Anolis sagrei: one gene and its partners. The protein of the gene in region 3 interacts with the protein of the main gene of each other region in a pairwise test. Links are inferred from orthologs where the notes say so. Each region holds a gene or a part of one and is shown on either strand. Other genes may lie near its edges.

Region 1 (7,037 bases), on a different chromosome or scaffold from region 3:
ATCCCACAAACGAACATTACATTTTTATTTATATGGATTACATGTAATATAAATATATAATATATTATTAGTAGTAATATATTGCATTACATTATAATATTATAAATATAGATAAAGGTAGTCCCCTGACATTAAGTCCAGTCATGTCTGACTCTGGGGTGTGGTGCTCATCTCCATTTCTAAGCCGAAGAGCCAGCGTCGTCCGTAGACATTATAAATATATGTATATACAATATATTATATTATATTATACTATATTATATTGCAATATATTATATTATTAGAATAGCACAGGAGACAAGGTGGAACTGTCCCCTTGGCCATCTTTAGAGACCAGGACATCAAATAATGGGTTCACATTGCAGGGAAAGAGATTTTCCACACTAGGAAAAACTTCCTGACTGAAATTTCTCTGCCCCGGAGTGTAGGAAAGCCTCATTCTTTGGAAGTGGGACTCATATCCTCAGTCTGGTGAAGTCTCGTTCTCTAGAGTTTTTAAAAAACAAGCTGGACGGCCATCTGTTAGGAGTGCTTTGATTGAGTATTCCTGCGTGGCAGAAGACTGGACTGGCTGGCCCTTGGGGTGTCATTTATTCAAGGCTGCACAAAAAAACAAAACAGAAAAAATGAGCAAGTGTTGCTTGAAACAAACAGGTCATAAGCAACACATGCTGAAAATCCCGTTTCCCACCCAATAAGGAAGGATACAGAAGCAATCTACGATTTCCATTCTGATAACCTTTAGTTCCTTTCTATATCCCCAAGCAGGGCACATGCACATGCAAACTCTCATTCCAACCCACAAAGGGAATCATAGAATCCTAGAGTTGAAAGAGACCTCCTGGGCCATCCAGTCCAACCCCATTCTGCCAAGAAGCAGGAAAATTGCATTCAAAGCACCCTGACAGATGGCCATCCAGCCTCCGTTTAAAAGCTTCCAAAGAAGGAGCCTCTACCACACTCCGGGGCAGAGAGTTCCACTGCTGAACGGCTCTCACAATCAGGAAGTTCTTCCTCATGTTCAGATAGAATCTCCTTTCTTGTAGTTTGAAGCCATTGTCCTGCATCCTAGTCTCCAGGGCAGCAGAAATCAAGCTTGCTCCCTCCTCCCTGTGACTTCCTCGTCAGGCTAAACATGCCCAGGTCTTTAACCCACTCCTCATAGGGCTTGTTCTCCAGACCCCTAATCATTTTAGTTGCCCTCCCCTGGACACTTTCCAGCTTGTCAACATCTCCCTTCAATTGTGGTGCCCAAAATTACCCTCTATTTTCAGAATGGAAACTGGAAAGGGCTTTAATCGTTGTGTCAAAAGTGGCACTTTGGCAGGAGTTGTGCATTACCTGGTGGCATGTCATTGAATCATAGGGTTATAGAATCATAGAGTTGGAAGAGACCTCGTGGGACATCCAGTCCAACCCCCTGTCAAGAAGCAGGAATATTGCATTCAAAGCACCCCCGACAGATGGCCATCCAGCCTCTGTTTAAAAGCCTGCAAGGAAGGTGCTTCGACACACTCCGAGGCAGAGAGTTCCACTGCTGAACGGCTCTCACAGTCAGGAAGTTCTTCCTCATAGAGTTGGACGAGACTACATGGGCTGTCTAGTCCAACCCCCTCCTATGCAGGAAAAGTTCAATTAAAATACCCCAACAGATGGTCATCCAGCCTCTGTTTAAAAGCCTCCAAGGAAGGTGCTTCCACCACACTCCAAGGCAGAGAGTTGCCCTGCTGAACGCCTCTCATAGTCAGGAAGTTCTTATATACCCCGACAGATGGTCATCCAGCCTCTGTTTAAAAGCCTCCAAGGAAGGTGCTTCCACCACACTCCAAGGCAGAGAGTTGCCCTGCTGAACGGCTCTCATAGTCAGGAAGTTCTTATATACCCCGACAGATGGTCATCCAGCCTCTGTTTAAAAGCCTGCAAGGAAGGTGCTTTCGACACACTCCGAGGCAGAGAGTGCCACTGCTGAACGGCTCTCATAGTCAGGAAGTTCTTCCTCAAAGAGTTGGACGAGACCACATGGGTCATCTAGTCCTACCCCTTCCTATGCAGGAAAAGCTCAATTAAAATACCCCGACAGATGGTCATCCAGCTTGTGTTTAAAAGCCTCCAAGGAAGGCGCTTCCACCACACTCCGAGGCAGAGAGTTCCACTGCTGAACGGCTCTCATAGTCAGGAAGTTCTTATATACCCCGACAGATGGTCATCCAGCCTCTGTTTAAAAGCCTGCAAGGAAGGTGCTTCCGACACACTCCGAGGCAGAGAGTTCCACTGCTGAATGGCTCTCATAGTCAGGAAGTTCTTCCTCATAGAGTTGGACGAGACTACATGAGTCATCTAGTCCTCCCCCTCCTATGCAGGAAAAGCTCAATTAAAATACCCAGACAGATGGTCATCCAGCTTCTGTTTAAAAGCCTCCAAGGAAGATGCTTCCGACACACTCCGAGGCAGAGAGTTCCACTGCTGAACAGCTCTTACAGTCAGGAAGTTCTTCCTCATGTTGGTGGAATCTCCTTTCCTGTCATTTGAATCCATGGCTCAATTGTGTCCCAATCTCCAAAGCAGCAGAAAACAAGTCTCTTTATGACATCCTTCCACATATTTATACATGTCTCCTCTCAATCTCTTCTGCAGGCTAAACATACCCAGATTTTTAAGACACTTAAGTGGCTGAGGGGGGAAATGAAAGGGCCTGAGACTGTTAGGGATTGTGGGAGTTGAAGTCCAAAACACCTGGAGGGCCCAAGTTGGCCCAGGCCTCCCCCAAAGCTCCCCCGTCTCCTTACTTGGCGTAGTAGACCCAGCCGTCCTTGGTGGTCCTCTCCTCCCAGCCGGGGGGCAGCTCCTCCTCGCTGTCAGTGTCGTCCAGACCCGCGTACTTCAGCGCCGCCATACCGCTCTCTCCCGTCTCCAAGGCAACCTCTTCTCAAAAGGGCCAAGAAAGGTCCCTGCTCCTAACCCCAAAGCTCCCTTCCCTACTGTCCCACTAAGGCGGAACCTTTCTGCTCCTTAGCGTTGCACACCGAGCCCCTTTTCATGAAGCAACCCTTCCGTTAGGGGTGACCAATCACAGAGCGGGGAGGGCGAAGGGCACGCTGGGAAATGTAGTCTTGGGGCCAAAAAGACACGTGCGCCTGTCCTAGGAAAACAATCGAGCGTGGGATGAGTCAGAAGAGCCAGGCGGTTCTGTTTGGGAATGGGAAGTTTTTCTTTCTATCTCTGAAAAGATTTTAAAAGGGAAGGGGAGAGGATTTACTCTGTTGTGACATTATCTCCTCTACAATAACTATCTGTTGTGGGTTGCTGTGAGTTTTCTGGGCTGTATGTCCCAGAAGCATTCTCTCCTGACGTTTTGCCCACATCTGTGGCAGGCATCCTCAGAGGTTGTGAGGTCTGTTGGAAACTAGGCAAATGAGGTTTATACATCTGTGGAATAATGTCCAGCGTGGGAGAAAGAACTCTTGTCTGTTGGAGGCAAGTGTGGATGTTAAAATTGGCCACCTTGATTAGCATTGAATGACCTTGCAGCTTCAAAGCCTGGCTGCTTCCTGTTGTGGCTTCATTAACTGAAGGGCCCTTCCACACAGCCCAATATCCCAGAATATCAAGGCAAGAAATCCCACAATACCTGCTTTGAACTGAGTTATCTGAGTCCACACTGCCATATATTCCAGTTCAGAGCAGAAAATGTGGGATTTTATTCAGCTGTATGGAAGGGGCTTCAGATAGCCCAGTTCAGAGCAGATATTGTGGGATGTTCTCCCTTGATATTCTTGGTTATATGGCTGTGTGGACGGGCCCTGAGTCCACACTGCTATATAATCCAGTTCGAAGCAGATAATGTGGGGTTTTATAACGTGTGGTAGGGGCCTGAGATAACCCAATTCAGGGCAGATATAAGTCTTTTATGGCCAGAATCACTGGATTGCTGTGAGTTTTTTGGCCTTGTTCCAGCAGCATTCCTTCCTGACGTTTCGCCTGCATCTGTGGTTAATGGCATCTTCAGAGGTCCTGTTGTTGTTGTTCATTCGTTTAGTCGTCTCCGACTCTTCGTGACCTCATGGACCAGCCCACGCCAGAGCTCCCTGTCGGCCGTCACCACCCCCAGCTCTTTCAAGGTCAGTCCAGTCACTTCAAGGATGCCATCCATCCATCTTGTCCTTGGTCGGCCCCTCTTCCTTTTGCCTTCCACTTTCCCCAGCATAATTGTCTTCTCCAGGCTTTGCTGTCTCCTCATGATGTGGCCAAAGTACTTCAACTTTGTCTCTAGTATCCTTCCCTCCAATGAGCAGTCGGGCTTTATTTCCTGGAGGATGGACTGGTTGGATCTTCTCGCAGTCCAAGGCACTCTCAGAACTTTCCTCCAACACCACAGCTCAAAAGCATCTCTCTTCCTTCGCTCAGCCTTCCCTAAGGTCCAGCTCTCACATCCGTAGGTGACTACAGGGAATACCATGGCTTTGACTAGGCGGATCTTTGTTGCCAGTGTGATGTCTCTACTCTTTACTATTTTATCGAGACCGGACATTGCTCTCCTCCCAAGAAGTAAGCGTCTTCTGATTTCCTGGCCTGTTAGCAGTGAAGAAAGTGGAGTGTTTCTATACCTGTGGAATAATCCAGGGTGGGAGAAAGAACTCTTGTCTGTTTAAAGCAAGTATGAATGTTGCAAGATTTGAGTAGTCATGAAGCTGAAGCTGTATCAGTGAGGGTATCTCCATAGAGCAGTGTTTCTCAACCTTCCTAATGCTGCGACCCCTTAATACAGTTCCTCATGTTGTGGTGACCCACAACCATAACATTATTTTCGTTGCCACTTCATAATTGTCATTTTGCTACTGTTATGAATAGTAATGTAAATATCTGATATTTATTTATTTATTTATTTCGGGTACTTTTACCCCGCCCTTCTCAACCCCCGAGGGGGGACCCAGGGCGGGTTACAAAAGGCACAATTTGATGCCTATACAAAAATTATACATAGTGTACAAAACCATAGTTAAAACAATTATCACAGTTAAAACAATCATAACAATCACTATACATCACATCATATAAAAACTATTCACATGCTCAGCGTTCGTCTTTCAGAGTTCCAAATTCCATTCCATTAGTCATTTCCTGGCCATTCTCAAAGCCCTTTCTTTATCTGCACAATTGTCCGAATGCCTGGTTCCAAATCCATGTTTTCAGTATTTTCCTGAAGGAAAGGAGTGATGTCGCTGATCTAATTTCCCCTGGGAGCGAATTCCACAGGTGGGGGGCCACCACCAAGAAGGCCCTGCTCCTCGTCCCCGCCAATCTCACTTGTAATAGAGGCGGGGCCGAGAGCAGAGCCTCCCCAGAAGATCTTAAACTCCGAGGTGGGACATAGAGGGAGATCCGTTCGGACAGGTACGCTGTGCCGGAACCGTATAGGGTTTTGTAGGTCAAAATCAGCGCTTTGAATTGTGCTCTGAACTGGATCGGCTTCCAAAGAAGGAGCCTCCACCACACTCCAGAGCAGAGAGTTCCACTGCTGAACGGCTCTCACAGTCAGGAAGTTCTTCCTCATGTTCAGATGGAATCTCCTTTCTTGTAGTTTGAAGCCATTCTTCTGTGTCCTAGTCTCCAGGGAAGCTGAAAACAAGCTTGTTCCCTCCTCCCTATGATTTCCTCTCACATATTATAACATGTCTCCTCTCAGCCTTCTCTTCTTCAGGCTAAACATGCCCAACGCTTTAACCCGCTCCTCATAGGGCTCCAGACCCTTGATCATTTTAGCAGTCCTCTGGACACATTCCAGCATGTCAATATCTCTCTTCAATTGTGGTGCCTAGAATTGGACACAATATTCCAGGTGTGGTCTAACCAAGGCAGAATAGAGGGGTAGCATGACTTCTCTGCAAATTCAAAGAAAATAGCTGGAAATTTTGCAAGGTGAACATAGGTGTTTTTTATTTGTTTGTTTGTTTTGTCATGTCAGGAGCGACTTGAGAAACTGCAAGTCGCTTTTGGTATGAGAGAATTGGCTGTCTGCAAGGACGTTGCCCAGGGGATGTTTTGATGTTTTTACCATCCTTGTGGGAGGCTTCTCTCATGCCCCCTCATTTTTTATTTGTCGTGTCAGAGCAACCAGTTCATCATATTACATTTCTAACAGAACAAAGCAAACAAACAGACAAAATACGAAACTTGTGAGATTGGTAGTTGGTTAAATGTCCTTTGACCAGTATCTGGCCACTTGGAGTGCTTCTGGTGTTGCTGGAAGAAGGTCCTCCATTGTGCATGTGGCAGGCCTCAGGTTGTATTGCAGCAGGTGGTCTGTGGTTTGCTCCTCTCCACACTCGCATGTCGAGGATTCCACTTTGTAGCCCCATTTCTGAAGGTTGGCTCTGCATCTCGTGGTGCCAGAGCGCAGCCTGTTCAGCGCCTTCCAAGTCGCCCAGTCCTCTGTGTGCCCAGGGGGTAGTCTCTCACTTGGTATCAGCCATTGGTTGAGGTTCTGGGTTTGAGCCTGCCACTTTTGGACTCTCACTTGCTGAGGTGTTCCAGAGAGTGTCTCTGTAGATCTTAGAAAACTATTTCTAGATTTAAGTCGTTGACGTGCTGGCTGATACTCAAACGGGATGAGCTGGAGAGGTCTCTGCATTGGTCCTTTCACTATTGGCTGCTACTTCCCGGCGGATGTCAGGTGGTGCAATACCGGCTAAGCAGTGTAATTTCTCCAGTGGTGTAGAGCACAGACACCCCGTGATAATGCGGCATGTCTCATTAAGAGCCACATCCACTGTTTTAGTGTGGTGAGATGTGTTCCACACTGGGCATGCATACTCAGCAGCAGAGTAGGATAGCACAAGGGCAGATGTCTTCACTGTATCTGGTTGTGATCCCCAGGTTGTGCCAGTCAGCTTTCGTATGATATTGTTTCTGGCACCCACTTTTTGCTTGATGTTCAGTCAGTGCTTCTTGTAGGTAAGAGCATGGTCCAGAGTGACTCCCAGGTATTTGGGTGTGCTGCGACCAGCAGTGTGTGAAGCGACCAGCATGTCCCCTCATGA
Region 2 (7,239 bases), on a different chromosome or scaffold from region 3:
TTACAAATGCCTAAGGAGCAGTTACAAACACTGGAAGAGCCCAAGTTTGCCCAGGACTGGTGTAGAAGATGTAGCCTTTGAGCTTGAGATGACTTGATGCAGTAGACTGGCATCAGCTACTAATTTCCTCAGCCTCAAGGGTTACCGTAGTTATACTCAACTTGCCTGCTGTTATTCATTTTTTTTGTAATTGTTGTGCTTTTACTATGGCCTGGATTGTAATGTGTTTCTGTGCTTTATATGGGTTTTTGTTGCAAGCCGCTCCAAGTCCCTTTGGGACAAATGCAAGATACTCCACTTAGGTAGGAAAAAATGAAATGCAAAGATACAGAATGGGGGATACTTGGCTTGACTGCAGTATGTGTGAAAAAGATCTTGGCAGCCATCGTGGACAAGTTAAACATGAACCAGGAATGTCATGTGGCAGCTAAAAAAGCCAATGAGATTTTGGCCTGCATAAATAGGAACAAAGTGTCTAGATCCAGGGGAGTCACGCTACCCCTCTATTCTGCCTTGGTCAGACCACACCTGGAATCACACTGTGTCTAATTCTGGGCACCGTAATTGAAGGGAGATCTCAACAAGCTGGAATGTGGCCAGAGGAGGGCAACTAAAATGATCAAGGGTCTGGACAACAAGCCCTATGAGGAGCGGCTTAAAGAGTTGGGCATGTTTAGCCTGCAGAAGAGAAGGCTGAGAGAAGACATGTATAAACGTGTGAGGGGAGAAAGCTTGTTCCCTCCTCTTGGTCCCACCCCAGTCTCAAGGGAACGAGAGAGGGGACCTTCTACATGATCACTCCCAGTCTCTAGAACTCCCTTCCTAAAGAAGTAAAAACAGCCACCACCCTCCTCTCTTTTAAGAAACTTATAAAAATGCACCTTTGCACTTTAGTGTATAGAGAGGAGGATGACACTTTATTGGATCATTTTATTTTTCAACACAATACTTAATTCTTTGTTGTAAGCTTACTGTTATACCTGTTGTTTTACTGTGTATTATTTGTTACGTTTGCACTCACCTAGAGGCATTGAATGCTTTTTATATGTGTAAACAGGCCTGCATCCCTCTTGGGAGAGAGGGTGATATAGAAATAAAGTATTATTATTGTTGTTGTTGTTTTCTGCTGCCCTGGAGACTAGGATGCGGACCAATGGCTTCCAACTACAATACAGGAGATTCCACCTGAATATTAGGAAGAACGTCCTGACTGTGAAAGCTGTTCAGCAGTGGAACTCTCTGCCTCAGAGTGTGGTGGAGGCTCCTTCTTTGGAGACTTTTAAACAGAGGCTGGACGGCCATCTGTTGGGGGGTGCTTTGAAAGTGAAAGGGGTGCTTTGAAAGTATTATTATTATTGCTGCCCCTGGTGTTGCCTTACCTGTCAGAGCTGTTCAGCAGTGGAACTCTCTGCCCCAGAGTGTGGTGGAGGCTCCTTCTTTGGAGACTTTTAAACAGAGGCTGGACGGCCATCTGTTGAGGGTGCTTTGAAAGCGATTTTCCTGTTTTTTTTGGCAGGGGGATGGACTGGATGGCCCACCATACTATGATATAAATAACACTTATTACTATTATTATTATTATTATTGCTGCCCCAGGCGTTGCCTTTGATATTATTATTATTATTATTGTTATTATTATTATTATTGTTATTGCTGCCCCAGGCGTTGCCTTACCTGTCAGAGATGTTCAGGAGCGAAACTCTCTGCCCCAGAGTGTGACTGTCAGAACTGTTCAGCAGTGGAACTCTCTGCCCCAGAGTGTGGTGGAAGCTCCTTCTTTGGAGACTTTTAAACAGAGGCCGGATGGCCATCTGTTGGGGGTGCTTTGAAACGATTTTCCTGCTTTTTGGCAGGGGGTTGGACTGGATGACCCACGATACTATGATATAAATAACGTTTATTATGATTATTATGCTTGCTGCCCGAGGAGTGGCCTTACCTGCAGGAACTTGGAGCGGTTCTCGAGGAGGAGCTTGTTGTCGGTCTTGACGGCCTGCTGGAACATGTAGTCGCAGAACTGCTCTCGGACGAAGCCCGGGCTGGCGACGAGGACGCACTTGACCACGTCGAAGTTGACGTGGCGCTGGATGGCCTGGGCCACCTGCTCGTAGAAGCGCTCGAGGGCGCGGTCGTGCTGGGCGCAGCTGCCCCTCCGCTTCCGCGGGATGCTGACCTCCACCTTGGCGCGGGGGAGCGTCATGCTGGGCGTGACGAGGCAGACGTGGGCCAGGCCCTCCTGCATGACCACGGCGGCCAGGTCGGCGCCCCAGGCCGGGTCGCAGGCCTGCTCCACGCGCTCCAGCGCCACCGAGTCCCACTGCTTCTTGGCCAGCGTGAACTGGCGGTTGGGCTCCAGCTCGATGGTGTGGTAGGCGCCCATCTTGACGAACTCGTTCTCCTGGATGTTGGTGCCCTTGACGCGCAGCTGGCAGGCCTGCGAGTCGAAGTCGGTGGTCTCCACGCAGAGGGTGAGCGTGGTGCGGACGCGGCTGCTGCCCACGCTGCCCGTCGACGTCTCCGTCTGCACCTTCCGGATGGTGGCCGCCCGGAGGCTGTCGCCCGCCTGGATCAGGTTGTAGGCGTGCCACATGTCCTCGGCCTCCTCCGGCACCAGCGTCACCTGCCCCGCGTTGTCCTTTTCCATGTCCTTCCGCAACAGCTTCATCCTGCAGGCCTCTCTCTCTCTCTGCGGCCTACTCCGGAAAAAGCCGCCCGGCCTCGATTTACAAGTTCCCTTGCTAAGCGGCCTACTCCGGGAAAAGCCGCCTGGCCTCGATTTCCTAGTTGTCACACACTCTCTTTGCTAAGCAGCCATTGCGGCCTAGCACACTCCACGCCGCCTGAGCCAAATTTTCGATAAGGTGTCTTTGCCCGAGTTTGCTTCCTCTTCACCATCTCGGCATATTGCTCGTCTGAGAAGAGGAGAAAAGAGGGAGGAGCTTCCCCTAAGCCACGCCCCCTCGTCAAAGCGTCACAGGCAACCCAGCGCTGAATTTGTCCTCAGCTGGCTCAAATGCCCGGCTGGGGAAAAGGGGGCGGGGCTTGTCATCGGCCACGCCTCCTCAAAAAAAAACCGCGTCAAGGAGAAATCTAGGCAAATACGAGTAGCGTCCGCAACAGCGCATGCGCAATAAGGGGGCCAACCATAAAGAGAGACAGCGAGGCGTGACCGAGACGCCGAACGCAAAGCTGATTGGTTGAGTCGTTGCTGAGTCGGAGCCCCCGGTGGCGCAGTGGGTTAAGCCCTGTGCCGGCAGGACTGAAGACCGACGGGTCGCAGATTCGAATCCGGGGAGAGGCGGATGAGCTCCCTCTATCAGCTCCAGCTCCTCATGCGGGGGCATGAGAGAAGCCTCCCACAAGGATGATTAAAAACATCAATCATCCGGGTGTGGGGCAACGTCCTTGCAGGCGGCCAATTCTCTCACACCAGAAGCGACTTGCAGGTTCTCAAGTCGCTCCTGACAGACAAATAATAATAGCCAGTTGTTGGAGAGGAGGAGGAGGAGAAGGAAAGCGGGAGTTAGAAGTGCTTTCATTTAGTTTTGAGTGACTTTACGTTAATTTGGGTTAGGTTGCTGTGAGTTTTCTGGGCTGTCTGGCCATGTTCCAGAAGCATTCTCTCCTGACGTTTCACCCACATCTATGGCAGGCATCCTCAGGTTTGCATGCTGGTCGCTTCTGTGGCGAGAGAATCAGCCGTCTATGAAGACATTGCCCAGGGGACGCCCGGATGTCTTGCAATCCTGTGAGGAGGCTTCTCTCATGTCCCTCTGTACATCTTAGTTTTCTAAGATCTACAGAGACACTCGCTGGAACACCTCAGCAAACGAGAGTCCAAAAGTGGCAGGCTCAAACCCAGAACCTCAATCAATGGCTGATACCAAATGAGAGACTCCCCCCTGGGCACACAGAGGACTGGGCGACTTGGAAAGCGCTGAACAGACTGCGCTCTGGCACCACGAGATGCAGAGCCAACCTTCAGAAATGGGGCTACAAAGTGGAATCCTCGACATGCGAATGTGGAGAGGAGCAAACCACTGACCACCTGCTGCAATGCAACCTGAGCCCTGCCACTTGCACAATGGAGGACCTTCTTGCAGCAACACCAGAAGCACTCCAAGTGGCCAGCTACTGGTCAAAGGACATTTAATCAACTACCAAACTCAAAAATTTTGTATTTTGTCTGTTTGTTTGCTTTGTTCTGTTAGAAATGTAATATAATTGACTAGGTGGTGATGACTCGATAAATAAAAAAATAAAATCCTCATGTTATGAGGACTGTTGGAAACCTGAGTTATCAGTTTACCCCCCTCGCAAAACACGCATACCCTCTTTCATACTAAAAATAGCTGCCGTGATTATTTGGAAGTTTATTATTGTTGGGTTGTTGTAGGTTTTTTCAGACTATATGGCCATGGTCTAGAGGCATTCTCTCCTGACGTTTCGCCTGCATCTATGGCAAGCATCCTCAAGAGGTAGTGAGGTCTGTTGGAACTATGAAAAAGGGTTTATATATCTGTGGAAAGACCAGGGTGGGACAAAGGACTCTTGTCTGCTGGAGCTGCTATTGTATTATTATTTATTATTGTTGTTGATATTCTGTGTTCTCTCTCATAGATTCGTTTAATTTATAGGAATTCATTTACACCTCAAGTATCTTCCTCCACTTATTTATTTATTTATTTACAACATTTATATGCCACCCTTCTCACCCCGAAGGGGACTCAGAGCGGCTTACAATATATATATATATATATATATATATATATATATATATATACACACACACATACATACACACACACACACACATATACAATATATTATATTATTAGCATAATAATATCAATATCAGTATTATATATTACTATATTGTACTACACCATTATATTGTAATATTATTACTAATATTAAATGTAATATAAATATATATAATTATAATATTGTATTGTTATTATTGTAGTACATTATAATTTTTTCTTGTCGTGTCAGGAGTGACTCCTTGTGTGAGAGAATTGGCCTTCTGCAAGGACGTTGCCCAGGGGACGCCTGGATGATTTGATGTTTTTGTCATCCTTGTGGGAGGCTTCTCTCATTCCCGCATGAGGAGCTGGAGCTGAGAGAGGGAGCTCATCTGCCTCTCCCCGGATTTGAACCTGCGACCTGTTGATCTTCAGTCCTGCCAGCACAAGGGTTTAACCCACTGCACCACCGGAGGCTCCATTATAATATTATAAATATATGTATACACAATATATTATATTATTAGGAAACCACAGGAGACAAGATAGCCCCCTCTCTCTTCACTCTGGCCAGAGCAGCCGTTGGTGGGGGGGGGGGGGGGGGGAGAAGCCTCCCAACTGACAATGTAGGCAGGAGACAATTATCAGGCTTGTTTTTCAGCTCAGATGTTTGGAGACTTAACAGTCAAGAGGCTGTGGAAGGATGCTGGTAGGCCTCTGATGCATGGACATGGTACCACAGTCATCCTACAATATCTAGATATTCATGTTACTGCCTGATAGCTGCCTTAGATTTGGGTTGTTGTAGGTTTTTTTGGGCTATATGGGCATGTTCTAAGGCATTCTCTCCTGACATTTCACCTGCATCTATGGGAAGCATCCTCAGAGGTAGTGAGGTCTGTTGGAACTAGGAAAAAGGGTTTATATATCCGTGGAATGACCAGGGTGGGACAAAGGACTCTTGTCTGCTGGAGCTAGGTGTGAATGTTTCAACTGACCACCTTTATTTATTTATATTTCAAACTTATATGCCGCCACTCCCCTAGGGCTTGGAGCTACTTACAAGAACAAACTAAGATCTAACACAAATTAAATGCTAACCTTGACAAGCATTTGATGGCCTGGTGTGGCTTGTTAGTGCCTGGGGCAATCTATTGTTGAGAGGTGATTAGATGTCCCTGATTGTTTCCTCTCTATTGTTTTGCTGTTGTAATTTTAGAGTTTTTTAATGGTAGCCAGATTTTTTTCATTTTCATGGTTTCCTCCTTTCTGTTGAAATTGTCCACATGCTTGTGAATTTCAATGGCTTCTCTGTGTAGTCTGACATGGTGGTTGTTAGAGTGGTCCAGCATTTCTGTGTTCTCAAATAATATGCTGTGTCCTGGTTGGGTCATCAGGTGCTCTGCTATGGCTGACTTCTCTGGTTGAAGTAGTCTGTACTCCCTTTCATGTTCCTTGATTCATATTTAGGCGCTGCGTTTAGTGGTCCCTATGTAGACTTGTCCACAGCTGCATGGTATAAGGTAGTCTACTGTATACCATGCAGCTGTGGATAAGTCTATAGGGACCACCAAACGCAGCGCCCAAACACGAATCAAGGAACACGAAAGGCACTGCAGACTACTTCAACCAGAGAAGTCAGCCATAGCAGAGCACCTGATGACCCAACCAGGACACAGCATATTATTTGAGAACACAGAAATGCTGGACCACTCTCACAACCACCATATCAGACTACACAGAGAAGCCATTGAAATTCACAAAAAAACCTATAACAACCCAGTGATTCCGGCCATGAAAGCCTTCAACAATACATTGCCTTAGATATTTTTTAATGCAGGCCTGGACAAACTTGGACCACCCAGGTGTTTTGGTCTTCAGCTCCCACAATTCCTAACAGCCCCAGGCCCTTTCCTTTCCCCCCTCAGCCGCTTAAGCCTGAGGCTGTTAAGAATTGCGGGAGTTGAAGTCCAAAACACCTGGGCGGCCCAACTTTGCCCAAGGGATAACTGACAAATGATTCCAGTAGCAGAAAGGGGTTTTTTTTTCCTTCTTCTTGTGGCCAGTGGGGTCTGACTTTGTAGGATAGGTAGAAAAGGCAAAGATTAATCTATGTCTTTTAACTGATTTTATTTTTTTTAACCAAAAGGCTGTTCGAGTGGTTTATGCACAGTCATCTTAATAATTGGAATATGGGCCTAATCCAGGCTTTGAGTTATTTATGATGGTATGTTCCTAGGAAAAGCAGAACTCAGCAGTGGGGAAGAAATCCACTTTTTAAAAGTTTCCAAGCAGGTTCAGAAGTGGGCAGTACACCACCCAAATAGTGGAAAATAGTGGAACATGCAAATGTCCTAGTTAAACATAAACTCCCTTTATGTGGTTGTGCTGGGCATGGCTTTCTGACTCAGCTGGCAAAAGCTGGTGGTGATTCATTGCCCTTTCCCATTGAACAGTTGAGCAATAGTCAGACTTAAATGTTGAATTTGAAGTA
Region 3 (7,698 bases):
GCTTATTATTGTTGTGATTGCTATTAATATTCTGTTGTTGTTGTTGTTGTTATTTGAAACACATCAAGATGAGTCCACAGCAGACAAGATCACTCTGCTGGCTGTTGTATTGGATCACACCTCAGACACTTTCCAAGTGTCTAGAACTGTGTGATGTATATTATTATTATTATTATTATTATTATTATTATTATTATTATTTATTAGGGTTGGTGCATTATCTGGCCTTAGGAAGAGCCAGGCTGATGACAAACCCCTCCTAGGCTTCAAAAGCTTTGCAAAGCACCTTTTCTCATAATGGGTGTCATTCATTTTCTCTTTAAGGGATGGGGGATTCTGACATCTTTAAGGAGGGGGAAAAAAACCTTTGTGGCAATCTTGGTGTGAGGCTCTTAATGGCAGGCAAGCGAGGGTCGCTTTGAAGTCTGGCAAAAGGCGCTGGCAAATTCTTAATCGGTTTCTTCCCCCCTTTTTTCCCCTCTCCCAGCTGTAGGGTTGACTCTTTTCAAAAGGGAAGGCGCCTGGGGGGAGGTGGGGGGTTATTTACACCAGAAGGAGGCTCTACGTGGGGTCGGGAAGGGGGGGGATAGGAAGCCCCATCTCTTAATATTTTGTGAGAGGGAGCAGCATCCAGCACTGCACTGAAATGTGTATGCTTTCAATCCCGGGCCTGAAACTTAGCTCAGGTTGAGAGCATCCAGCCTTGGTGGATGTCTAGAGCAGGCCTGGGCCAACTTGGGGACCTCTAGATGTTTTGGACTTCAACTCCCACCATTCCTAACAGCCTCAGGCCCCTTCCTTTTCCCCCTCAGCCGCTTAAGCGGCTGAGGGGGAAAAGGAAGGGGTCTGAGGCTGTTAGGAATGGTGGGAGTTGAAGTCCAAAACACCTAGAGGTCCCCAAGTTGGCCCAAACCTGTTCTACCCCTTCTTCAAAACCTCCCTGTTGCAATTCCTGAACTAGTCCCCAAAAGGTCCTTTGAAAGGATGTATAAGAAGAAGCCAAGGTGGTTTTCTGCTGCTCCAGAGACTAGGAAACAGAGCAATGGATTCACATTGTAGAGAAGAGAGATCCCACCTAAACATTAGGAAGAACTTCCTGGCAGGAAGAGCTGTTGTTCAACAGTGGAATGTGGTGCTTTAGTGTGTTGGAGTCCCCTTCTGTGGAGGTTTTTCAGCAGAGGCGTGGAGGGCCATCTGTCAGGAATGCTTTGGTTGTATTTCCCTGAAAGAGGGAAGGGTTGAACTGGGTGGCCCTTGTGCCTCTTCCAAGTCTGGATTTCTAAGTTTTAAGGGATGGGGGAGTGAGGAAAGGCTTCAGGGTTGCTGTGAGTTTTCCAGGCTGTGTGGCCATGTTCCAGAAGCATTCTCTCCTGACATTTTGCCTGCATCTAGGGCAGGCATCCTCAGAGGTTGTGAGGCCTATTAGAAACTAGGAAAATGGAGTTTATATATTTGTGAAATGTCCAGGGTGGGAGATAGAACTCTTGTCCATTTGAGGTAGGTGTGGATGCTGCAACTGGCCACCTTGATTAGCATTGAATGGCCTAGCAGTTTCAAGGTCTGGCTTCTTACTGCCTGGGAGAATCATTTGTTGGGAGGTAAACAAGGGAGGTTTATATATCTGTGGAAGGTCCAGGGTGGGAGAAAGAACTCTTGTCTGTTGGAGGCAAGTGTGAATGTTGCAATTGGCCACCTTGATTAGCATTGCAAAGCCTTGCAGCTTCAAGCCTTTATATTATTTAAGATCATTTTCGTATGGTTTGGTATATATGTGAGAGGCAAGTGTGAATGCCTTGATTAACACCAAAAAGCCTTGCAGCTTCAAGGCCTGGCTGATTCCTTCCTGGGTGTTAGATGGCCCTCATTGTTTCCTGTCTGGAAGTCCCCTGTTTTCAGAGTGTTGTTCTTTATTTACTATTTTGATTCTGGTGGGTTTTTTAAATACTGGTCGCCAGATTTTGTTCATTTTCATGGCTTCCTCCTTTCTGTTGCAATTGCCCACATGCTTGTGTGGATTTCCATGGCTTCTCTGGGTAGTCTAATCAAGGAGGCCAACTGCAACATTCACACTTGCCTTCGACAGACAAGAGTTGGACCTTCCACAGATATATAAACCTAGTTTCCAACTGACCTCACAACCTCTAAGCATGCCTGCCATAGATGTGGGCGAAACGTCAGGAGAGAATGCTTCTGGAACCTAGCCATACAGCCCGGAAAACTCGCAGCAACCTAGTGATTCCGGCCATGAGAGCCTTCGACAACACAAAGAAAGGCTTCTCTTTTAGGATCCCTTTCCCATCTCCAACCCTTCCCTTCCTAGGAAGCCCAAGGGCCTCTCTTCCCAAAGGGGGAAACCCAGCCTTCAATGGGGGGCTCCACGTGGGAGGAAAGTGACAGGCGCCACGAAGGAGCTCTTGGGCTCCCAACTTTGGGGGAAGGGAGAGCGGCCCTCTCGTCTCCTGGGAATGTGGCAGGGATTTCTTGCAGAGAGAAGGGGATTTGAGTGGGGGGCTTCTCCCTCCCTCCCCCCCCCCCCAATCCCAGCTTGGTGGCTCGTGCCTGGCGCCTGCAGCTGCTTTCCTCCGACTTGAACTCGCCGCCTCGTAAACTGTTCACTGGGGGGGGGGGGGGGGGTGAGCGACAAAGCCCAATCTGTCTCCGGGCTGCTTTGCGCTGTGGCGAGCGGGCTTTGCGGCTTGCGAGAGGGAGGCGGGGGGCGACGAGGAGGAGGGGAAGGAGGGAAGGAGGGGGTTGGGGGAGAGAGGAGGGGGGCTGTGTGTGCGTGCGTGAGAGAGAGAGAGAGAGAGAGAGAGAGGAAGGAGGTAAATAGCCTGCTACCGGACGCCAGTTCCTCAGCTCCTCTCCTGCTTCTCCAAATCCCACTCCACGCCGAGAACACGAGTGACCTTTCTCCCCCCCTTTGCTGTATTATGTCTGGCTGGTTAAGGGATTGCGTCCTGCAGTTGGTTCAGCCCCTGACTTCTTCCAGCTCGGCTCAAAGCACGCTGCTGCTTTAGGTAAGTTCTTTCTCTCCTCCCTCCTTCCCTCCTCCCTCTCTCTTCTTTCCTTCTCTCTCTCTCTCGGTCCCGATTTCCAAGGCTTCCTTTGGCTTGAGCCTAAACCCACAGGCATCCTTGTCCCCCTTCCCTAGAAAGGCCACCTGTAGCTGGGGCTCCGTTTCTTTAGTTTTTGGGGGGAAGAGAAGCAGGCGCCCTCTTTCTGCGCCCCTCCTTCTCTCCGCGTCCGCTCAACTCCTTCCTTTCCTCTCTTCCCTTCTATCCTTTCCTCTCTTTCCTTCCTTCCTCTTCCCTTCCTTCCTCTCTTCCCTTCCTTTCTTCCTCTCTTCCCTTTCTTATTTCCATTCCTTCCTTTCCTCTCCTTCCTTCCTTCCTCTCTTCCCTTCCTTTCTTCCTCTCTTCCCTTTCTTACTTCCATTCCTTCCTTTCCTCTCTTCCCTTCCTTACTTCCATTCCTTCCTTTCCTCTCTTTCCTTCTTTCTTTCTTTCCTTCCTTCCTTTCCTCTCTTCCCTTCCTTACTTCCATTCCTTCCTTTCCTCTCTTTCCTTCTTTCTTTCCTTCCTTCCTCTCTTCCCTTCCTTACTTCCATTCCTTCCTTTCCTCTCTTTCCTTCCATCCTTTCCTCTCTTCCCTTACCTTCCCTCCTTCTTTTCCTCTCTCCCCTTCCTTCCCTCTCTTCTCTTCCCTTCCTTCCTCTCCTCTCTCCATCCTTCCTTCCTTCCTTCCCTTCCCTCCCTCCTCTTTTCTCTTTCTCTTCTTTCCCCCTCCGACCATGCTGCGCGCAATCTCTGTCCTTCCCCAAGGAGAGCGCCTCGAAAGTGGCATCTAGGGGTCCCGAAGTGACTTTGCCCGTGTCGAGTGGAGAAGGTAAGTTGGGGCCAGTGGGAGCCTGAGGCGGGAAGGGAGGGCTCTGGGTCAGGATGTGGGGCTTGGGGCTTCCTCTCTTTCCCCCTCCTGGCCCCCATACCATACCCACCCCTCTCTCCTCCTTTCTTCCTCTTTCCTCTTGCTGCCCTGCAACTTTGGGCTGGAAGCACTTTGGGGAGGTGTGTGTGTGCGCTTTTGACTCGTCTGGTTTTGGCCGGGCACCGGAGAGTCCTGGCTCGGACTTTGGGGAAGGAAGGGCCCGCTTGGCGTGGCTAGTTGGAACAAAGTCAAACAATGGAGCCCAGGCTGGCCTTTTCCTGCCCCGAAGCGGCGAGCGCGCCTCTCCAACGCCGTGGCGAGAGAGAGAGAGAAAGAGAGCAGCTGCTTTCCTTCCTCGCCTTCCTTCCAACCCTTTCCCCCTCTCCTCTAGATAGGAACCGGGTTCCCTTTCTCTTCTTTCCAAACCCCAACTCTTTCATAAAGAGGCTCGAAACGGTGTGGACAGGGCGCAATGTTGAGCCCTTCCTGCCCTCTCCATTCGCGATCAATTTGGAGAAAGATCGGAGCTTGGAAAGCAGCCTCCCCGGCTTTTGTCATGGAGATCTCTTCCTACTCTTTACTCGTCTCTCTTCTCTCTCTCTCTCTCTGATCTCCAGCCCCAATCCTTCCTTTCTGGCTGGGATGTTTCCTCCTACTATTGTGGCATGGCTCTTCCTTCCAAACCCCGAGATCGGGAAAGAAGAGAGTTCAGGGAGCCACCGGGATCTGTCCTCCTTTCGCCACTATCATCACTCTCTCTCACACACACGGATTTCCCTAAGAGGACTTCACGCTGGCAAAGGCGTCCTGCGTGTGTGTCTGTGGCTGTGTGTGTGAGAGAGAAAGCGAGTGCGCGCGGCTTTTCCTCGCAGCCCAAGCGTCGCCTTCTTCCCAAGTGCTTCTCTCTGCACAATAGCCCTTCTCTCCCTCCTCTTTCTCTTCTCTCTTTCGCCTCCTTCCTTCCCCGGTGTCCAGCACTCTCCTCTTCCACTGGACCCACACGGGGAGGAAGAGGGGGCTGGGGAGGCTGGCCTGCTTGCCCATTGCCTTGCCTGGGCTCAAAGCGAAGCAGCTCCCTGGGAAGTCCCTGCCATCCCCTCATGCAGAAAAAGGAGAAAAGTTTTGGTAAGGTTGTTGTCATCGCGTCTTCGGGTGTGTGAGTTGTCTGTCCGTCTCTCCCTCCCTCTAGCATCCCTGTGTCTATATGTGTGTGTCTATACTCTATATATCTATTTCGAGGGAGGAACAGGGGGAAAGCAAAGCTACCCTTTGGCCATCCATCCAAGCCTGTCCTGAACTGTCCTGTTGGACAGGATGGTGTTTTCTGCAAACGCCTTGGGTCGGGGATCTCCAAACACAACCCCTCCTGATCTGATTTAGGAATTGTGATGGATCTCTTTCTTTTCCCCTTCTCCCTGCCGCATTACTAATACTAATAACTAGGACAACAAAGCCAAGGCACAGGCTGTCCTTGCCTGGCTCTGGCAGGGGTGATGAGAAGAGCCAGAATTGTGTTAGAGATACAAAAGAGGAGGGGTCTTTGTTGTTAAAGTGTGTGTTTCCTCTGTCCTGCTCCTGTGTCTGTCTATGTGGGTGAGAATGTGTGTGTATTAATTTTTCTCCCCTTTTTTTTTCTTTTTTTTGCATGTGAACTGCATCAAAATTGAGCTCACTCTTGCAAATCTCTTGTTGGCCTTTGCCAACCACTAGCACTTTGCTGCCATGGTAACTGTAATTAAACTGATAAGAGTGGAAAAATGTCAGTATCTCTCTGAGTCTTACAGCTGCATTGGAAGAAAGGAGGGGAGGAGAGAATCAAATTGGCTTCCAGCAGCACCGCATTCAGTTTGGAAAGGGGCAGAGGGGGGGGGGGGGAGGTGGAAGGAAAATGGGAGGGGGAAAAGTGGTGTATTAAACAGTTTATGGGTGACAGACTTTAAAGAAAACAGCCACACTTGAGTTCTTGGCGTGGGATGGATATATATATATATATATATATATATGAGGAAGACAGAGAGAGATGTTTGCACTTCCTATCCCTCTGAGAGCTGGAGGATATAGAGAAGATGTGGGCCAATGAACAGAGAAACAAGCTTTTAGGCCCGAAACCAAATGGCTTTTCAGAAATAGAGGAGGTGACAAGGAGGGGAGGGCGGAAAGTGAGGAGGAAGCCTTTTGTCATTCTTGGCAGAACCAATTTCTTTCTTCTGAGCTGGTGTTAGGTTTTTGTTTTGTTTTTTTGTGTGTGTGGAACAACTTGAGAAACTGCAAGTCGCTTCTGGTGTGAGAGAATTGGCCATCTGCAAGGACGTTGCCCAGGGGATGCCCGGATGTTTTGATGTTTTGCCATCCTTGTAGGATTTGCAGTTCCTCAAGTTGCTCCTGACATGAAAAAAAATCCTTGTGGGAGGTTTCTCTCATGTTCCCACATGGGGAGCTGGAGCTGACAGATGGAGCTCATCCGTGCTCTCCCTAGATTCAAACCTCTGACCTGTCAGTCTTTAGTCCTGCCAGCACAAGGGTTTAACCCATTGCGCCACTGGGTGCTAGTTATGTGATGGCATATCTAGCTGCAAAAAATGCCACCTTACCCTAATCTGTACCCTACCCTACCCTCCTCTTTCTTCAAAGCTGCACCCAAAGTTCCCAGCAAGTATGGCAGAAATGTGGTGGTCTTGTGAGGGAGAGAGTGCTGGCGGTGTGCATGTGTGTGGTTTTGAAAACAAAATGTCCTTGCTTGAGGATGACAGCAATTAGCGTGAAGTAGACAAAAAGTCCCATGTTCCGAATGGCAAAAGGTGGCAGGGTGAAGTCCTGGGTGTTACGGAGTTGCGATCACTTTGTTGTGTTTGTATCTGAAAGTGTAGGGAGGGTATGAGGGGAGATGAATGGCACAGAGCTAGGGAACATAATGGAGGCAATGGAGCATTGGGGTGGCGCACAATGCAATCCTGGCAATTAAAAACTCACCAGAGTTTTTGAAATGCAATGGCTCCTGCTTCTTCTTGGCTTGCCACGCTGCATGGCTATTATTCCATGTGTCTGTCTCCATCTCTCTCCCTCTTTAATTATGATTTCCCTTAACCTGTCAAACAATTCAAATGTAGCAGGGGCCTCTGAGGCAATAGGATTTTCTTCCCCCCACCAAACAATTTGCATGCCAGTCTGAAGGACTCCTGAGGTGTGGGGAGGAATTCCAGAACGTGCCTGTTTATCAAAATGGCTTTTTGTCGAAATAGGCATTCCTTCCTTGAATAAGTGTGTGTTACCGAGGGAGTTCCAGCAGCTACTTTTTGAGCATTGGATTAGCACTCCCCCGAACTTCAGCGCTCAAATACTTCTGCACGCCCAACAGCCTTTAAGTTGGAGCATCCTAGCTTTGGAAAGGGTCTTAAATTGTTAAGGTTGCTGCCTTATGCACATTTATGCAGAGAGCCCAAGTCCCTCTGAAATCAATTTTGTCCGCTTCTCAGTAAATATGTACAACGTCATGTCTTGTTCATAGGTATTTAGTAGGCACTGTGCAGTTTTGCCTCACAGCCCAACCCTATATATTTCTGTTTGCAAGTCAATCTTAGTAGAGAGAGAATGTGATATGTTCACAATTCATGGCCACCCTTTGCGTTTCGATGGCGAACAGAAGCAAACTTCGAAGGTCTTGGTTAGCATGGAAACATTCTGCATAAGGAACTGGGTATGCTCTTTTGCTAATGGATAGGACTAGGCTGAAAATCATAACTCAGCGGCCCCAATTAATATTTCTTGCAATCTGGG

The links.
Region 1: the proteins of LMO3 (region 3) and WWOX interact in binary tests that used the Homo sapiens proteins (3 or more experiments, as listed by UniProt). The link is inferred for Anolis sagrei from reciprocal best matches to the Homo sapiens genes LMO3 and WWOX.
Region 2: the proteins of LMO3 (region 3) and PELO interact in binary tests that used the Homo sapiens proteins (3 or more experiments, as listed by UniProt). The link is inferred for Anolis sagrei from reciprocal best matches to the Homo sapiens genes LMO3 and PELO.

What each region holds. Positions count from the first base shown.
Region 1 is NC_090028.1:14,082,697-14,089,733, forward strand, and holds the start of WWOX (WW domain-containing oxidoreductase), read right to left. Parts: upstream 3,024-7,037; 5' UTR 2,894-3,023; coding exon 2,787-2,893; intron 1-2,786. UniProt on the Homo sapiens protein: Putative oxidoreductase. Acts as a tumor suppressor and plays a role in apoptosis. Required for normal bone development. May function synergistically with p53/TP53 to control genotoxic stress-induced cell death.
Region 2 is NC_090022.1:273,861,647-273,868,885, forward strand, and holds the start of PELO (protein pelota homolog), read right to left. Parts: upstream 3,024-7,239; 5' UTR 2,666-3,023; coding exon 1,940-2,665; intron 1-1,939. UniProt on the Homo sapiens protein: Component of the Pelota-HBS1L complex, a complex that recognizes stalled ribosomes and triggers the No-Go Decay (NGD) pathway.
Region 3 is NC_090025.1:182,068,109-182,075,806, reverse strand, and holds the start of LMO3 (LIM domain only protein 3), read left to right. Parts: upstream 1-4,691; 5' UTR 4,692-5,024; coding exon 5,025-5,049; intron 5,050-7,698.